Canis lupus familiaris: one gene and its partners. The protein of the gene in region 2 binds, or shares a complex with, the protein of the main gene of each other region. Links are inferred from orthologs where the notes say so. Each region holds a gene or a part of one and is shown on either strand. Other genes may lie near its edges.

What was found.
Region 1: the proteins of SLC3A2 (region 2) and SLC7A10 are in contact, whole or in part, in a cryo-EM structure (PDB 8WNT), measured with the Homo sapiens proteins. The link is inferred for Canis lupus familiaris from reciprocal best matches to the Homo sapiens genes SLC3A2 and SLC7A10. Residues at the interface, in NP_002385.3 of Homo sapiens: Phe161, Thr162, Gly163, Leu164, Lys166, Leu169, Leu170, Val172, Ala173, Trp178, Arg182, Leu186, Phe189, Trp190, Trp193, Met196, Leu197, Ala200, Ile203, Ile204, Ala207, Pro208, Arg209, Cys210, Arg211, Glu212, Leu213, Arg534; in NP_062823.1 of Homo sapiens: Leu147, Val150, Phe151, Asn153, Cys154, Pro157, Ala160, Val163, Leu164, Met166, Ala167, Met170, Leu171, Trp174, Ser352, Val359, Glu481, Thr484, His485, Trp486, Gln488, Glu489, Leu490, Phe492, Val493, Val494, Tyr495, Gln497.
Region 3: the proteins of SLC3A2 (region 2) and SLC7A11 are in contact, whole or in part, in a cryo-EM structure (PDB 7P9V), measured with the Homo sapiens proteins. The link is inferred for Canis lupus familiaris from reciprocal best matches to the Homo sapiens genes SLC3A2 and SLC7A11. Residues at the interface, in NP_002385.3 of Homo sapiens: Glu167, Leu170, Ala173, Trp178, Thr181, Arg182, Phe189, Trp190, Trp193, Met196, Leu197, Gly199, Ala200, Ile203, Ile204, Ala207, Arg209, Cys210, Glu212, Leu213, Lys299, Arg534, Gln559; in NP_055146.1 of Homo sapiens: Leu151, Phe154, Phe155, Ile156, Gln157, Cys158, Glu159, Pro161, Leu163, Ala164, Leu167, Ile168, Ala170, Val171, Thr174, Val175, Val178, Gln217, Gln219, Val360, His373, Thr487, Gln489, Ile490, Ile491, Glu493, Val494, Val495.
Region 4: the proteins of SLC3A2 (region 2) and SLC7A8 are in contact, whole or in part, in a cryo-EM structure (PDB 7CMI), measured with the Homo sapiens proteins. The link is inferred for Canis lupus familiaris from reciprocal best matches to the Homo sapiens genes SLC3A2 and SLC7A8. Residues at the interface, in NP_002385.3 of Homo sapiens: Thr162, Gly163, Leu164, Ser165, Lys166, Glu167, Leu170, Ala173, Gly174, Trp178, Arg182, Leu185, Phe189, Trp190, Trp193, Met196, Leu197, Gly199, Ala200, Ile203, Ile204, Ala207, Arg209, Cys210, Arg211, Leu213, Lys532, Arg534, Asp558, Gln559; in NP_036376.2 of Homo sapiens: Leu147, Leu150, Phe151, Pro152, Thr153, Cys154, Phe155, Pro157, Ser159, Gly160, Leu163, Leu164, Ala166, Ile167, Leu170, Leu171, Trp174, Gln294, Ser352, Met356, Val359, Glu481, Thr484, Leu485, Gln488, Lys489, Met490, Cys491, Val492, Val493.

The regions. Positions count from the first base shown.
Region 1 is NC_049222.1:119,764,378-119,768,314, reverse strand, and holds the end of SLC7A10 (asc-type amino acid transporter 1), read right to left. Parts: intron 3,293-3,937; coding exon 3,169-3,292; intron 3,089-3,168; coding exon 2,985-3,088; intron 2,632-2,984; coding exon 2,535-2,631; intron 2,348-2,534; coding exon 2,198-2,347; intron 1,569-2,197; coding exon 1,391-1,568; intron 1,156-1,390; coding exon 1,025-1,155; 3' UTR 935-1,024; downstream 1-934. UniProt on the Homo sapiens protein: Associates with SLC3A2/4F2hc to form a functional heterodimeric complex that translocates small neutral L- and D-amino acids across the plasma membrane. Preferentially mediates exchange transport, but can also operate via facilitated diffusion.
Region 2 is NC_049239.1:54,327,907-54,332,142, forward strand, and holds part of SLC3A2 (4F2 cell-surface antigen heavy chain), read right to left. Parts: intron 4,234-4,236; coding exon 4,139-4,233; intron 766-4,138; coding exon 697-765; intron 591-696; coding exon 532-590; intron 371-531; coding exon 190-370; intron 76-189; coding exon 1-75. UniProt on the Homo sapiens protein: Acts as a chaperone that facilitates biogenesis and trafficking of functional transporters heterodimers to the plasma membrane.
Region 3 is NC_049240.1:5,032,522-5,037,237, forward strand, and holds part of SLC7A11 (cystine/glutamate transporter), read left to right. Parts: intron 1-3,219; coding exon 3,220-3,345; intron 3,346-4,716. UniProt on the Homo sapiens protein: Heterodimer with SLC3A2, that functions as an antiporter by mediating the exchange of extracellular anionic L-cystine and intracellular L-glutamate across the cellular plasma membrane.
Region 4 is NC_049229.1:3,551,535-3,555,361, forward strand, and holds the end of SLC7A8 (large neutral amino acids transporter small subunit 2), read right to left. Parts: intron 3,353-3,827; coding exon 3,195-3,352; 3' UTR 1,301-3,194; downstream 1-1,300. UniProt on the Homo sapiens protein: Associates with SLC3A2 to form a functional heterodimeric complex that translocates small and large neutral amino acids with broad specificity and a stoichiometry of 1:1.

The DNA of each region.
Region 1 (3,937 bases), on a different chromosome or scaffold from region 2:
GCTTCTCACTTCATTCACCCTCCGGGGCGCCAGAGCTGTGCCCGACTGCACAGGACGGCGGGTGTGACGGAGCCAGTCCAGGGCGGGCCCTGTGCTGGTGCTCAGCCCTCCTCCCATCCCCCCAGCCAGCCCGGAGGGGCAGGCGAGGAGGCTTCCGGCCCATCCTCATGCCTGCAGTGTCAGCATGGGCCTGGCCGGGCAGATGCCCTTCGCTCTCTGGCTGCAAGCTTAATCTGGGCATGAGGGCTGGGAATGTGGGCACAGGGTAGAGAAAGCCCATGGTCTCTTGCAGGCCCTGAGGCCCCCAACCCCTCCCGGGAGATGCTGCTAGAAGCTTCCTCAGGAGACAGTGGCCGAGCACCGACTAACAGTGGCCAGATCCATCCTGTTCTGCCTCAGGCTCTCAGTTTCCCCTGTAAAGCAGGGTGAAGCCATGGGCCCCCAAGTCTTGACGCTCATTCTACGGAGATTTATGGGGGGAAAGGCAGCTCCAGCAGAAACGCCTAGGCCCTCCCGGGTGGCTGAGCCTTGGGCTGGCATTGCGGGTCCCCGGGAGGGGCACACCAGGTGTCTCCCAATCCCGGTGTCCTTTTGGGGCAGGGCTGGCTCTGGACCCCACAAGGGAGAGAGGGAGTGCCTGGCTCACGGGGCAGAGCCCCCAGATGCCAGAGGCCTCCTGCGGCGTCTGCTGAGCCACTTTGGCAGCCAGCACCACACCAGCCCCGCCAAGTCATGCCCACCAGGGACTCACCTGAGACAAGCACACCACCCACCAGCCCCGTTTTATTCATAGACCTTTTCAGGAAAAGCGAGTGGGGCGGTGCTGACAGGGAGCCCCGTCCACATCTTCGGGGGTCCCCCTTGGCATAGGCCTTAAAAGAGTCGGATCTCTTTTTTTTTTTCCAAGACAAAACAAAAACAAAAACAAAAAACCCAAAACAAAAAAACACAACTTATTTTGCAAAAACACCTCCTCAATAAACAACATGTAAACAGAAACAGCTGCTTTAGGTTCACCAATGTCTCACTGTGTCTTCAAGGGCTTGTCCGTGGCAGGCAGCGGGGAGGACTGGCAGGGGCTGTTTTCTTCCTCCTCGGGGGCCTCCTGGGGGTAGACCACGAAACACAGCTCCTGGCCCCAGCGTGTCATGGACTCTGAGGACAGATGGACAAACAGATAGACCTTGGGTCTGACCCTGTGGGGCAGGGGTCCTCAGGGAGTTGCTCCCTTTGATTGGATTCTGGACACTGGACCACCTCCTGGGGACACTTCCGGTGGCAGCTGGACCCTGATACCACTGCAGCTGCGGGGAGGCCCTGCCCCAGGGCAAGCCCCCGAGAGGGGACGCACTCCGACGCCCACCACCTTGGGGAGGCGGCCCCGGCTCACCTGTGAGTCTGTGCACACACTTTGGTTTGCTTCTCCAGAAGACCCCCAGGAAGAAAACAGGCACCCCAGTGAGGATGATGATCACGCCGACCCCACACACCATGGGCTCCGAGATGAAGCTGAAGACCAGTAGGAATGCCCAGAAAACCAAGTACGCGACAGGGACGAGGAGGTTCACCTGGGGATCAGCCAGCCAGAGGGCCAATGGCGTGGGACCTTCCCTGGGCTCTCCTGCTCCACCACCCCGTGAGGGTGACAGGGTCCTAGGTGCCTCCCACCCTCTCCTGGGAGCTGAGGCTTGAGGGTCCCCCTCTGGCAGCAGCCCAACATGCTAGAAGCCAACTCATGGGATGGCTGATTTGTCAAACGACTTATCAAAGTTACAGTGGCTCTGAGCTCCACACGGCAACTATGTGTCACTGGCTGCTTGCATCTGACTCTCTCCCTATATCTCTTTTTTTTCTCTCTCTCTTTTTGGTGTTTCATATTTTTTCAGGCACTGAGCAGCACTTCTCCAGCTCCAGGATTTATATGCAGACACAATATTTGCATTTTGCTTAGTCTGGGCTCTGCTGTCCTTGTGTGCTCCTGGGATTCTCTGTGACCAGGAGCAAGCATCTTGGCCTCCTTTTCCTGTCTGTAAACTGGGAGTATCGAAAGCCCCCACCTCGTGGGGCTGACACGGGAGCTGAATAGGTCGGTGTACACACAGCCCGGAGCAGGGCCCGATCGCTGTCATCACCTGCCCCCGGTACCCAGGTGACCTAAGGCGGGGGGACAGCCAGCCCGTCCTCCCCCGGGCCTCACCTTGATGGGCCTGTGGAGAGCTGGCCGCCTCCAGCGCAGCACGAGCAGGCCCAGGATGGTGACGCCGTAGCAGAGGTAGTTGATGAAGGACACATAGTTGATGAGCGTGTACGTGTCTCCCACAAGCATGATGATCGCTGTGGCCCCGCACTGGGAGAGGACCGGGCTGAGGGTGGCCTCCCACCTGCCTCCGTCAGCCCCGTGGGCCGCCCTGGGCCCGCCGGCTCGGGCCAAGAGGTTGGTGAGCCCCGGCCCTCCCTGCTCCCTCTGTGGCCCGCACCACCCTCCACCCCCGAGGGCCAGGCTCCCGTCCCTGCCAGTTGGTCCCACGACTTACACAGACGAGGAGGGCAGGGATGGGGGTGCAGCGTCTGACGTGGATCATGGCCAGCAGGCCGGGCAGGTGCCCCTCTCGGGCCCCAGAGAAGCACAGTCTGGGACAGAGATGGGGGCGGGAGCGTGAGCCCGGCCTTGGGTGTCCCGCCAACCAGCTCCCGGACCTCAGCTCCAGACCCGATGTCCCCCTGGAGCTGTCACCTCCGGCCCCTGCCTTCTCCGGGCCCCAGGAGCCCCACCGGGCACTTCTTCCCCACCTAGTCCCGCCTCCTTTTTGCTTTCTGTACCTCAGAGCGGGGGTCGGACTCCTGTCACTGGGGAGCTCATTGTCCCAGCTTCAGCTGGGACCCACCGGGCGGGATCTGACTTCCTCCGGCCCCTGGCGCTGATCATGAGCACCAGGGCTACCTGCCTTGCCTCACCTTGACCACCCCTTTCCCCATCCGGTCACCTGGAGGAGGTGAACAGGTAGCCATTGATCCCTCCAAAAGTGGAAAGTGCCACGGAGACGGGCATGACCCAAGAAAAGTAGCCCAGCAGCTTCTCCCCGAAGGTCTGAGTGGGCACAGAAGAGAGGTGGTGCATGAGGCAGGGCGGGGTGGGCGGGAGGCAGGCACAGGTGGGACCCCACTCACCACAGCCACTGCGTTAGAGGACAGCAGCTCCTGGGGCGACATGGCCGTGAAGTAGGCGATGTTGGTGAAGGTGTACACAAAGGTCACCAGTGGGATGGAGATGACAATGGCACGAGGTAGGTTCCTGGGGGCAGCAGTGGGTAGGTTCCTGGTCAGTGGCAGCCCCCGGGGTTGCGGGGAGACTGGGAGGCAGCGCCCGGAGGACCCAGCACAGGAACGCTTTGAATCTCCATCTCCTGGGTCTGCTGTGGGCCCTGGGACAGGTAAGGGGCACCACCGCCATCTCCCTGCGGCCCCCCTGGGCCCCAGTCTGGGCACAGACTGGTGGAGGAAGGGCAGGTGGGTGGGGAAAGGGCCGCATCAAACTCTGGGGGGGCAGGTCTAGTGCTGGCACAGGAAGAGAAAAGCACATCCAGGCCCAATCGGCCATGAAGATCCTTGAAAAGTGTCCCTAGGGCCCAGTCCCTAGACCCGGGGTCCCCTGGGGCTGCCCTATCTGCGCCAGCCCCAGCTGCGACTGGTCACTGTTGGGACCCCCCACTGAGCATCAGATGGAGCCATGGGCTTTGTCCCTGGGGGCCGTGTTGTGTACACATTTTGGTCAAATGCAAACCGTCGGGTCCATTGACAGTGGGACAATGACACTCCGTGTTTCTGAGGCCCGGCAAGGGGCCACAACACGGCTTTGTGGGGCGGGGCCAGGCTGCAGCACGAGGGTCCCGGCAGCAGGCTGAGCCCCGGGAGGCAGCAGGTCTGTGCAGGGAGGTGC
Region 2 (4,236 bases):
GGTGAAAAGGAGCAGTTGGTAGAGGCGGAGGAGATGAGCCGGCACGAAGGAAGTCAGGAATCCCGCCTGAGACAACTGCAGGAATGGATGCACTGGTGAGCCCCAAAGCCCACCTCTGCCTCCATCCGTGAACACCCCTTCCTCTAAAAGGCCTCCTTCTGCGCCTTCTACTCCACACTATGTACTCACACTCCAGCTGCACCAGCGATTGTCAGTGGCATTCAAATACTGGGTCACTAGGAATTCTGTATGCCTCCCAGTGATATCAGGGCTCGACAAGTATGAGCTAGTCAACAACAGGTCTTTGGTGGAGCCAAGTAGGCTCAAGATCTGCTGAAGGTCAGAGGACTCAGTCCCCGCAATCAAGAGCCTGCACAGAGCAAGAAAATAGGACAAAGTTTGTAAAGAGCAAGAAAAGAAAAAAGGTGAAGAAGGTTCTTGGACTAGGGATCCCCCCATTCCTGGGGCCTAGCACTCAGCTGAGGAGTTCCCATGGGGAAGCTGAGTTGGCAGGGGAGGTCTGGCACCTACCTATCTTCACTGAAGCTCTTGGTGACGTTCTGCCATTCAGCCAAGTACAAAGATGCATCCTAGAAGGAAAAAAAGCAGAGTCAAGGAGGAGCAAACACTACCAAGCCCTGGAAAGTCCCTCTGCTCTGACCCAGGCTCTGCCTCTCACAGGGAAAAGGGACTTACCGTCAGATTCTCCACGTTCCGAACCTGGAACCCATCCACACCAGCCCGCAGCCAAAAACTCAGAGCAAACTACAGGGAAGGGGGCAAAAGAAAACAGACAAAAGGTATCAACACTCCGATGCAAAAGCTTACAAAATCCAGCCCACGTCAAACCATGACCACCACGCACTTCTCCATGACCTTGGGAGAGTCACTTGCCTTGACCAGCCTCAGCCTCCCTTAACCACCTCTATCATAAAGGTTTAGCCTTCGGTTCCCTCCCTTTTTGAACTATCACTGATTCTTAACAGTACAGCATTTCACTTCTCTGTTCCACCTCAGGGCAAATCACACGGCTTCCCCTTTGGACTCCTATAGGAAAGGCCCAAGAGAAAAGGTACATTCATAAAAATAACTTCATTTAATCCTAAGCATGTGTGGCGATGCCTGGGCGTTTCAGCGGTTGAGCATCTGACTTCGGCTCGGGTAGTGATCCCGCGGTCCCAGGACTGAGCCCTACATCAGGCTCCCTTGCTTGGAGCTTGCTTTTCCCTCTGCCTGTGTCTCTGTCTCGCTCTCTCTATATCTCTCATGAATAAATAAAATCTTTTTTAAAAATTTTTTAATTAAAAAAAAAAAAAAACCCAGGCAGCCCAGGTGGCTCAGCGGTTTAGCGCCGCCTTCAGCCCAGGGCCTGATCCTGGAAACCTGGGATCGAATCCCACATCAGGCTCCCTGCATGGAGCCTGCTTCTCCCTCTGCCTGTGTCTCTGCCTCTCTCTCTCTGTTTCTGTCATGAATAATAAATAAATAAAATCTTTAAAAATAAATAAATAAATAAAATAACCCTTAGCATGTGTGGAATGCTTATATACTCATTTCAGAAATGACAAAGCACTCTCAGAGGAGCAAGGAAGCAAGCCCACAACCACAGTCAGAGAGCAGCAGACACAGGGAATGCAAGCCAAGATCCCAAGACAAATGTCCATTATTTCTCTCCCAGTGTCCTGAGGTCTGGGGAGGGTAGGAGTGAGAGAGCAAGGCCCAAGAGGAAAGAGTGAAATTCAAAGCACAGCCCCAGGGCAGTCTTGATGAAGATCTGAAAAGAGGAGTCAGCTCTGCAGCACAGGGCCAGGCCTGAAGTGAGGGCATTGATGAAGGCAGAACATTGGGGCCCACCTCCACAGCCCTGTCCCCTTTCTCAATCTGGTCCCTGTGCTCTCTCTCCTCATCTCCATTTTCATCTGAGGCTACTAGTCCTCATGCCATACTGTCTGAAACATTCCTTCATCAATAACTTTTAAGAGACTTTATTTTTTTTTTTAAGATTTTATTTGTTTATTCATGAGAGACATGGGGGATGGGGGCAGAAATATAGGCAGAGGGAGACACAAGCTCCATGCAGGGAGCCCGATATGGGACTCGATCCCAAGACTCCAGGATCATGCCCTGGGCCAAAGGCAGGCACCAAACCTCTGAGCCACCCAGGGAGCCCGAGACTTTATTTTTTTAAGTAATTTTTTTAATTTAAGGAATTTTTTAAGTCAGCTCTACTGCCAATGTGGGGCTCAAAGTCACGACCCTGAGATCAAGACTCTAGGATGCCTGAGTGGCTCAGCGGATGAGCCTCTGCCTTTGGCTCGGGGCATGATCCTAGGGTCCAAGGATAGAGTCTCCGCATCGAGTTCCCTATGAGGAGCCAGCTTGTCCCTCTGCCTATGTCTCTGCCTTCTCTCTATGTCTCTCATGAATAAATAAAATCTTAAAAAAAAAAAAAAAAAAAGGAGTCACATGCTCTATCGACGCAGCCAGGCACCCTTCCTATCAATAACTTTTTTTTTTTTTAAGATTAATTTATTGGGCAGCCCCAGTGGCCCAGCAGTTTGGCGCCGCCTTCCGCCCAGGGTGTGATCCTGGAGACCTGGAATCGAGTCCCACATGGGGCTCCCTGCATGGAGCCTGCTTCTCTCCCTCTCCCTCTGCCTGTGTCTCTGCCTCTCTCTCTGTCATGAATAAATAATTTTTTTAAAAAATCTAAAAAACAAAGATTTATTTATTTATTCACAAGAGACAGAATGAGAGAGAGAGATGCAGAGACACAGGCAGAGGGAGAAGCAGGCTCCCCACAGGGAGCCCGATGCGGGACCTGATCCCGGATTCCAGCAGGCACCCAACCTCTGAGCCACCCAGGCATCCCCCTATCAATAACTTTTAAAGAGCTGAACTAGATGACCCTAAGGGTCCTATAGAAATTTAAGTAAAGAATTCTATTTCAGGAGGATCCCTGGGTGGCTCAGCGGTTTGGCGCCTGCCTTTGGCCCAGGGCAGGATCCTGGAGTCCCGGGATTGAGTCCCACATCGGGCTCCTGGCATGGAGCCTGCTTCTCCCTCTGCCTGTGTCTCTGCCTCCCTCTCTCTCTCTCTCTCTCTGTGTCTGTGTCTATAATAAATAAATAAATAAATAAATAAATAAATAAATAAATAAATAAATCTTAAAAAAAAAAAGAATTATATTTCAGTATCACGGGGGCCAGCAAAGAGTCTGGATCTGCTTCATTTTTATTCTATCCCTGCTGAACTTGTCAATATCCCAGGACCCAATATCCCATTAGGAGCTTGGATGACAAAGTCCCATTCCCAGCCTGCCCTCTTTGCACCTATACCTTCATTCAGTGAAGGCAAATTACCGAAATGAGATTACTTAAGACCTCAAGTCCTAAGCACAACAAGCTCCTCTGAACCTTAGTTAGCTTCTTCGTTTACAGATGAGAGGTGACAGGGACTTTGTGTGGTCACAGAGAAATTGAGAACACATACAAAGTACTTGGCATTGTCCTGCACACATAAGACCACAATGCTTACAATTTCAGACTGGGCTCCACTCCAAAACACATCAAACAAGAACTGGGAAACCAGACAGAACAGGAGTCCCACAGAGAAATGGCTTCCTCTCCCAAAAGGAAGGAAAATCAAACCCAGAGTAACATCTGAGAAGTTCCTTTCCTGGCACTGTTACCATCAGAATCAAGGAAACAAGATAAATACATGGCCAGAAAAGGAACAAGCAAAGACAGATTGCCCTGTTGGCCTACCCTCCTGCCTGTGGGAGGAGTGAGCCAGTTTGGTTCCCAGGAGCAAGAAACCCCTCAGCGGGGCAGCCCAGGTGGCTCAGCGGTTTAGCTGAAGGTTTCTTGCCGCCTTCAGCCCTGGACATGATTCTGGAGACCTGGGATCAAGTCCCACATCGGGCTCCCTGCATGGGGCCTGCTTCTCCCTCCCTCTGCCTGTGTCTCTGTCTCTCTCTGTGTGTCTCTCACAAATAAATAAATAAAATATTTTAAAAAAAGAAAAAAGAAAAAGAAACCCCTCAGCTAGAGCCAGGCTGGATTTATGGGGCTTGCCAGCGGGATCAACACAGCCCCAGCATCAAGCTCCCACCTGCTGTCAGCACCAACACACTCACCTTCATCTTGGCAGCCACAGCGTCAATCTCTGTGGGGAGGAACCATGAGTCCTGGCCCTTGTAGTTGGGAGTGAGGTCCAGAATGACCCGGATGCCTG
Region 3 (4,716 bases), on a different chromosome or scaffold from region 2:
AATATGTATTTCTTATCTCCCGGATTTATACATATAGCTTTTGTGGTTGTGTTTCAGTTCTTAGAAAACTGCACTATAAATAAGTAAATAAAAATTCTATGTCCCTGTATTTTATTTTGGTAAGGAAAAAAAAAACAAAATTGATATAAAGAGTTTTTAGCATGTAAAATTTACAATTATTATTCAAAGGAGGTAAAGCTAGGTAGGACCACAGAACTTACTCAGATTTCTTTTATTACAATGTGGGTAGTTAGTCTATAAAAAATAGAGTAGATATTATTTGTTGCAGAAACTCAGAAACCCCGCGCATTTAGTGAATCCCAAAGCCCCTTTTCAATATTGTTGGATAAGCTACATATGTAGACTTAAATTTCTGTGTAAAGACACGAGATGAAACAGCACTTCTAGTAACTTGAGGAACTTTACCGTGCATCTGTACTGGCTTCCTTGTTACTTGGTAAGTTGTATCCTTCAGGGTCATTTTTGGTGTACCAAAAAATGAGTGTAATGTCTGGATATTCAGATAAAGTGGGGTTTTGAGAAACCTTTAAGAGGAATCAGTTTTAACTAGAATTTTTACTTTACCTGCCTGAGAGGAAAGCAAGGTAAGATTATCAATTTATAATATTTACTGATTTTGTCTTCCGTTTTTCTAAGAAAACTTTACAAAATAGAAGAGAAAACCCCCGTATGCTCATTTTTTTCTATTTCAACAGGCATTAAGACACACTCTGTTTGAAAGTAACAAATCCTCTTTCTTCTCAATTATAGAAGTTCGCCAAATATGAATGCTTCTTTGTCTCTCCTCTCTCCTTTCTCTTCCTTCCCTCCCTCCCTTTCTCCTTTCTCCCATCCACCTTTCTTTTCTCCTTCCTCCATTTCCTTCCTTCCTCCTTTCTTCCTCCCTTCCTTCTTTCTTTCCTTCCTTCGTTTCCTTTTTCTCTTTCTCTTTGTCCTTTTATCCTCTATAAAGAGAAAAATTGGGGAGTACTTTCAGAAATAGTGTTTTAGGTTTTAGGAGCTCTATTTAAAAGAAAACAGTGCTCTTTTGTTGGTAGTAGGAACATGAGTCCAATTTTTTTCAGGCCAATGCTGGATCTCCTTAACTAAAAAAATCATGCTTTTTATATGATGACTCATTTATCACAGAATCATTTGCATAAAAAAGGAAAGAATAAGTGGATGATGAAGTGGAGAACAGAGTTGCATTAAATTATTTTCAGTATGTAAGTGCTTTATATTGGAGAAAGAAAAAGAATTTTATTTTTTATCCTTCCTCTGATAAAGTAATGCACTTTGCTATTAACAATAGCAAATGCTATTAACAATAGTCCTGCCTTTTAGCTTCAAGCACAGGTAAAATATTTCCCTAAGCCTCCCGTGGAGATTATTTGGGGTTCCAGTCTTCCCTGATCATTCTCAATCATTACTCCTTTGAAACATTTCTTCATTAGTAGCCCCCTAATTAACTTTATATGGGATCTTCTGATCCCTTATTTTCCCATCTTTGACTTTTTCAAAAATGAAAATTGTTGTATTGATTTTTCACTAAAAATACTGCATGTCTGTTATTAGAATTATTATATGCAGGAAAAGAAATAAAAATAGAATATTCAGTATTCTATCATCTATAGATACCTTCTATAGATGAAGTGTTTGTTAGTGTTTTGATAAACACTCTTTCAGATTTTTTCCCTTCATTTCTTTCTGTCTTTGTGTATTCATCTATCCATCCATCCATCCATCCATCCATCCTTCTCTCCGTAACTTGCTGTACTGGTCAGTAATATATCATGAACATCCTTTCATGCAATACATATTTAACTGTATCATGATTTTAAATGACTGCATAGTAAATCATTAAAAAGATATACCTTAATTAGCCTTCCTTTAGAAGGCTTCCTTTAAAAAATTTAAAAAAAAATTTGCTTGCACTAATTCTAAAGTTCTAAAATGAGCTAGTGATTATACAAGGCAATGGAAACTATGAAGATAAGGGATGATTGTATAATAGGAAAACTTCCTATTGCAACTAGAACGATAAAAACCGTGTTTTGTTTTGTCCCCTGAGAAGTATGTTCATACAATTGGGTAATTTGTTTAGGAGGGATATACTTCTATAAAAGTAAAGCTTATAGATAATAACTGCAAATGTCAGGTATGAGCAGCTTTGGGTAGGGATGAGGGGGTGTGTAAATACTTAATATAAACTTCTGGAAAGAGTATAAAGTTGAAATCTGTGGTTTAGAAGAACCTGCAGAAGTCATTCCAGCCAAGTATAGGAGGCAAGGTCTTAGAGTATCACCATTAATTTCATGCCTTCTTGGCTGAAGTTAGTTTTTTTAAACTGAGGATTCATTTATTCAACAAAATTGTGTTGATTAGCTTTCTGGGCCAAGCATGGAGCTGGACACGAGCATACAGGGATAGAAAATGCTTGTTCTATCCCTAGGGTTCTCATGGGCTACCACTGGGGGAAGACTGGATAGTTGAATGCTTCTTAGGAAACTGCAGACGGCGTCATTAAGAAAGGGAAATTCTGATGGCTTCAGAACCAAGGTGTGTCCTAGTCCGGGAACTCTTTTGAACTCATTACTTATAACTTTTTTCCTAAGTCCCCAAACACATCTCAGAAGTCTATATTTTTAAGGTAGGTTGAAAGTCAGTCCTTCCGGTGCTAATTGGAATGTAGAGAGGAAAACCAGAGTGCTGGCTAGGGCTAGTTCTGAGAGTGAAGAATAAGGTACTAGACAACTTTTTGACGTTTTACCATTTCTTGAGTGATTCCATACTGGCAGGTGCGTATGTGTAACATCATTATAGGAGGAAATAGTTGCCTGACTTACCAAGCTGGAGAGTCATATTCAGCAATTTGATTGCATATTATGATGACTTCAGGATTTGGTTAGAAGGTATTTATACCTGATTTTTAGGAAACTACAGTATATGCCCACTCTTACTGACATATACAAGGACCGAGAGATGAATTTTTACTGTCCAGGGTTTTATCTAAGCTTCTTCAACTTCAATGTGCATAAAAGTCACCTAGACATCTTGTATTTAAATCTGGGGCAGTGCCTGAAATTCTGCATTTCCAAAATGCCTCCAGATAATGCCAACTTTGCTGGTTAAATGGATGGCACTTTGAATAGCAGGGACCTAAGGTGTCTTCATGCCAATGAGAATTCACCTTTTGTAACTTCATCTATTTGTTTGCAGCTGTAGTGATGGTCCTCAACAGCATGAGTGTCAGCTGGAGCGCCCGGATCCAGATTTTCCTAACCTTTTGCAAGCTCACAGCAATTCTGATAATTATAGTGCCTGGAGTTATGCAGCTAATTAAAGGTATGGACTGGAAAGTAAATGCTTTTTAAAATACGTATCTGCTTTTGATCTTTCCTTGCACTAACTTTCGCTTGTCCTAGCAGAATCCCTTAATTAGTCTCGTTTCTGGAACTTAGACTCTACACTGTCATCTAATTGATTTGAAAGACTGCTGCATGGTGGTGGTGGGGGGGGCGGTGCATTGGTATTTACAGCTGAATGGCAGCAAGAGAATTAAGACTGGCCAACCAACAAAATAAAGCATCAGTGAATTCTATCCATATAAACTCTTTGGAGTGAGAACTTGAAGTGGAAAAACAAATCTGCCATTAGTTTTAACTACTGACAACTATACCTCTTACATTTACTTTAAACTAGTTCATTAATATAATAATAATAATAATAATAATAATAATAATAATAATGACTAAGGAGAAAGGATATCTGGAAAATAATGAAAGATGACCATAATTCTTTTACTCTATGGCTATAACTGCTTTTACCTTGAGAATAGAGTCTTGACAGAAGGAGAGATTATATGGGAAGAGCATTCCTAAAAACCAAATATTATCTGATAAAAAATGTTGTAAAAACTTAATTTTTATTGTTACATTATCTTTAAAGTAAAACATTCATTTCTATGGATATGTAATATTATTTGGGGGGAGTATTTGCCTAATAGATTTGACTGTTTAAGAGGAAAAGATGAAATGGTTGAAGAGGTGATGTTATTTAGAGTTTCAGTTATTCTAGGGAAGAAGGTACATGTAATTGCTTGAATCCAGTGGAACTTGTTGGAAAAGTATGAGATCCAGGTGAGTTATTTAATTAGCAATGGACTTAACAGTAGAAAATAGGAAAGTGAGATGGAATTGTGAAGGAGTGACATAATTTAGGAATGTTAAGTATTTAATGTTTACATTGATATTGTCCATTCCAGGAAAGGGAATTTATAGAGAAGTGTTATGAAGTTGTAGGAGAAGAATTACACAAAGCAAAAGGAAATGCCCAAATCCAGCAAAATCATCACTGATGGTAGAGGCCTCAAACAATAACAAACATTGAAAGATCCGTCACTCTGTAGCTAGGGAAAAGGAGCTGCTATTGTCCATTTACTAATGGAAGATCTTAGAACTCTCCTGGCTAAATGGTTGAATCAAATCCAACAAGTTCAGCCAACTCAGAGTAAACACAATAAAGATTTTAATGCTATGCCCAACACCAAAGAGAAGACATGAGCTTGCTCTTCTAATTCACATTGGCCACCACAGAGCTGGCCTGCTCATTTTATCTGATCCATTATAAATATAGAGAAAATAACCTGTTTTGTTAGTGCTTTCTTTTTCTGGCTAACTCTTCAGTCTTCTCTAAGGAGTTTCTTCCATTTTTGGA
Region 4 (3,827 bases), on a different chromosome or scaffold from region 2:
ACTGGAGAGGGCAATGGGGCAACATGGAGAATATGCTGGCAGCCCATGGAAAGGAAAAGTGTGTGTAGTGGGGAAGAGGGGGTTCAAAAGGGTGGATTTGAGACCTGGAGAACAGCCTCTTGCATAAGACTAGCCTCTGCTTGGTTTTGATTAGGTTCAATCCTCCCCCCCCCTTTTCTTTTTTAAGAAAGTGCTAAATAGGTTAAGTGACTTGCCCAAGGACACACAGCTGTTTAGTGGCTGCTGACCTGGAAATTAGAGCCAAGCCTCTGTGCCCCTGTGACTGGCACGCCTCCGGCCTCTAGAAGAATGCCAGCCACAGATGAGGAGTGTTGGGGCTGGCCCGGGACTGGGAGTGGAGGCGTCTTGTCTGCCTGTGTCCTCACGTATCCCAGATGGTGGAGGATGATGTCATAACAAACACCCCCCCCCCCATGTCTGTCAGAAGTGCTGTCTCTGGAGTACTGCCACCCCAGGTCAGGCAACAGGGAGAGCTGCCCACAAAGGAGGCACTCCAAGCAAGGACTGGGTCTAATCCCATCAACTTCCTCCAGCAATTAACCCTAAATCACCAGCAGATGTGTCCCTACTGTACCTGTTCCTTTGTCCTCACTCAACAGCCTTCCTAGTCCTTGACTAGACACGTTTCTCTCATTCGATTCCATGCAGCTGAGGGGACTCCGCCTCACCTCCTAATCCCTCCTGTCAAACCCCTTGGGTCTGGCTGGGTGCTTTCCTAAGTCCCCCTGGCATCTCTCCACAGGCTCAGCCTGTCCCTTCCTTTCCTACTTGGTGCCAGCTGCCCCAGGGCCAGAAGTCTTTGCCGAGCAGTTCTGGAGCCACTCTGCCTCTGCCTCCCCCCACTCAGCTCGGTGCTGTCCTCCACCTTCCCACCTGTGCAGTAACGCGGTTCTTCTCCCTAGCTAGTTTCCAGGCTCTCAATGCAGTGCACAGAGCAGGAACTTACTTAACACTTTGTGACTTCACTGAAGAAATGAGAGGTAGTTAAAAAACAAAAACCAACTCCTCCCCCCAAAACCTGAGAGATAGATGTTTGAATGTGCTGGCACCGGGTCCCTGGGACAGAGCAAGGGCTTTTGGGAATGTCATCCTGGAAGGAACCTGGCAACCAGAGACCTCCTGATGAAGATAGGAAATGCCTGGGGACTCTGTCTCAGAAGACCATTGAATTGTCACCACCACCACCTTCATTTCCATTTAAAATTTTATTACATCAAAAGAAAAAAAAAAAAAAACAAACCCTCCACAAAACAAACTCTAACTCTGAACCAACTCAACAATGGAAGATTATTCTCCAGGTATAACTAATGCCTTCCCCATCCCAAACAACCTTACATTAAAAAATCCAAAAGAAATAAAAATGCCAGCTTCAAAAATATTTATCCAAAAAGTAAGGCATTCACTTTATGAAACAAACAGACAAATAAACCCCAACAATTGAAGGAGGGATGGAGGTTGGAGGAATGAGAAGAGGGAACAAGAGGATGGTCCCCTGACCCGCCAGGGGCCAGCCCCAGCCCACCTGGGGTCCACTCAGAAGGGACCAGAACTCAAACTAAACCTGACATCTCACCAACCTTGTGGGGGTAGGGGTGTCAGGCAGGTGAGGAGGGAAGCTGGGAGAGCCAAGCAAGCCAGGAGGATTCCCCACATATTCTAGTCTAAGCAGATAGTACGCGGAGGTAGGGAAGGGGGGACTCCTGCTTAGCACAGCAGGTATGGCAGGGAGGCTGCAAGGCCCAGGGTAAACACGGTGGCCTTCCTCTGGAGGGCAGGGAAAGGCACCCTCTGCCCACAGGACGGCCAGAAGTCCATATACCAAAGAGAACGTGTCTCCAAGATGGGTACCTTCAGCCACTGCCCTTTCATCCTGCGTGGGAGGCTGTCTGAAGACAGGGGGGCAGCGGTGGGACCAGAAAGGGGGGTGTTGGGGTTGGGGGAGGAAGAAGGAACTGGCCTTCAGAAGACACTCCCTCCCCAGTCTCCGAGGTTAGGGGATGGGCACTTCTGGGAGGTGGGTGAGAAAGCACCCTCCATTCCAGGAAGGTTTTTCATACCAAGTCTGTCCTGAGGGCTAGAAATCAGGGAGTATTTTTAGGTCCAGTTCTTGGATGGGAGGCGATTTAAGGCTGATTTGGCTTGGCTTTCGGGCCTGAAGGGCTGAGGGAGCCCTCACACCGGTTGGTCCCACAGCCAAGCCGGAGAGGAGGGTGAGGGCATGATGGGGGTGCTGGCAGTGCTGGCTCCATGGGGGTATGTTGGGGGTGTAGCTGCAGGGGTAATGGAGTGACCGCTCCTCGGTGGAGCAGGGAGGGAGGAGGAGCTGAGCAGCTTTGCCATTAGGAGAGAAACGTCCACTACATTGAAAATAAGAAGACTTTCTGGCTTCAAGAAGCTTTGGCACCGAGTGGGGGTCAGGATGCAGGAGAGAGGGGCAGGGCTGGGTTTCTGCAATCTGAGCCTTTCCCAATCTGTTCCACAGGCCTGGCTTGGGGCTAGGAGGAGGGGGCAGTTCTCCTGCTCATTGGTCCATAGCTCAGTAGGGAGGTGGTGTCCTGACAGGAACCTTGCTCTGGACAGGGAGCCCAAGCTGGGGTGGGGGTATGTTACCATGAGGAGGGGGAGAGGAGAGGGTGAGAGGGAAGTATCGCTCTGATTTCTTGGGTCCCTAGTGAAGGGAGGGTGATATAGCTCTCTCCAGCTGACCTTTAATGACGACAGATTTGCTTGAGTCTGTCCCTCCCCAACTGATTCACTGTTGTTCTGTTCCAGTTCTCTGAGCAGAGGCCTCTGTTGGGCTCAGGAATGGGGTGGGGGGAAGGCAGTATTGAACTGGGCTCCCAAGGATGCAAGTGGAGGAGTGCGGAAGGCCCTGTAGGGTACCCCCAGCAGCTCCACACTTCTCCCACTGCTTAGAGCAGCCCTAGTGAGGGTGTTGGATACAGGCCCTGGTGCTGAGAGGCTGGTTCTTTGGGTACAAATGTCAATGTCTTTGTTTATAGTTTCTTATCACACACACCCAGGTCCTGCCCCTGCTTGACAGAAGCAGAGGTGTGTGTGTGTGTGTGTGTGTGTGTGTGTGTGTGTGTGTGTGTGCTGGGGGGACCTAGGCAGGAAAGGAGGGGAAGAGGGAGTGTAGGAGGGAGGAGCCAGCTGAGAGGGGATGGCAGTCCTCAGGGCTGGGGCTGCTCCTTGTCCTTGGAGGCAGTGGGTTGGTAGATGGGCTGCCGCTGCTCCTCTGTGTCCTCATTCGTTTCCTCTGTCCTCGAGCCCGCATCCATCTCGGGGTACACAGCCACACACATCTTCTGGCTCACCAGGGTTAGCGACTCTATGGGAGGTTACCCAACAGGTCAGTGCTGAGAATCCCACCGACCCGGCCAAGCAGACCTCAAGGCCTCACTCTGCTCCCCTATGCCAGGTGCTGCCTCAGTAGGGCTCCCAGTGTCCTCAGGAGACTCCTATTCCAGGAGACAGTCACCTTGTCTCCTCCTGGGTCTCCAGGCAGCCAGCAGACTGCCCTAGTCTCCCACCTTCCCTAAGCCTGGGCACCACCAGTTCGAGGCTCCCCACTGGCCTCTACTCAGAACAGCTCCTGCAGAATGGCTGTCAGGTTGCCTATGCCTCCAAGACTAGGGTCTGTGTGCAAACACCAGCAGTTCTCCTCTCCTCAGAAGTCTCTTGGGAAGGCACCCACCCTTTCCTGCTTCATCTTCTTCTCCAGAGCTCTGTGCACTAAGCCTAAGCCTCCTAGACCAAGAGACCTAACCCAGATGAGGAGATCTTCTAGCTACCCGGCGCCTTTA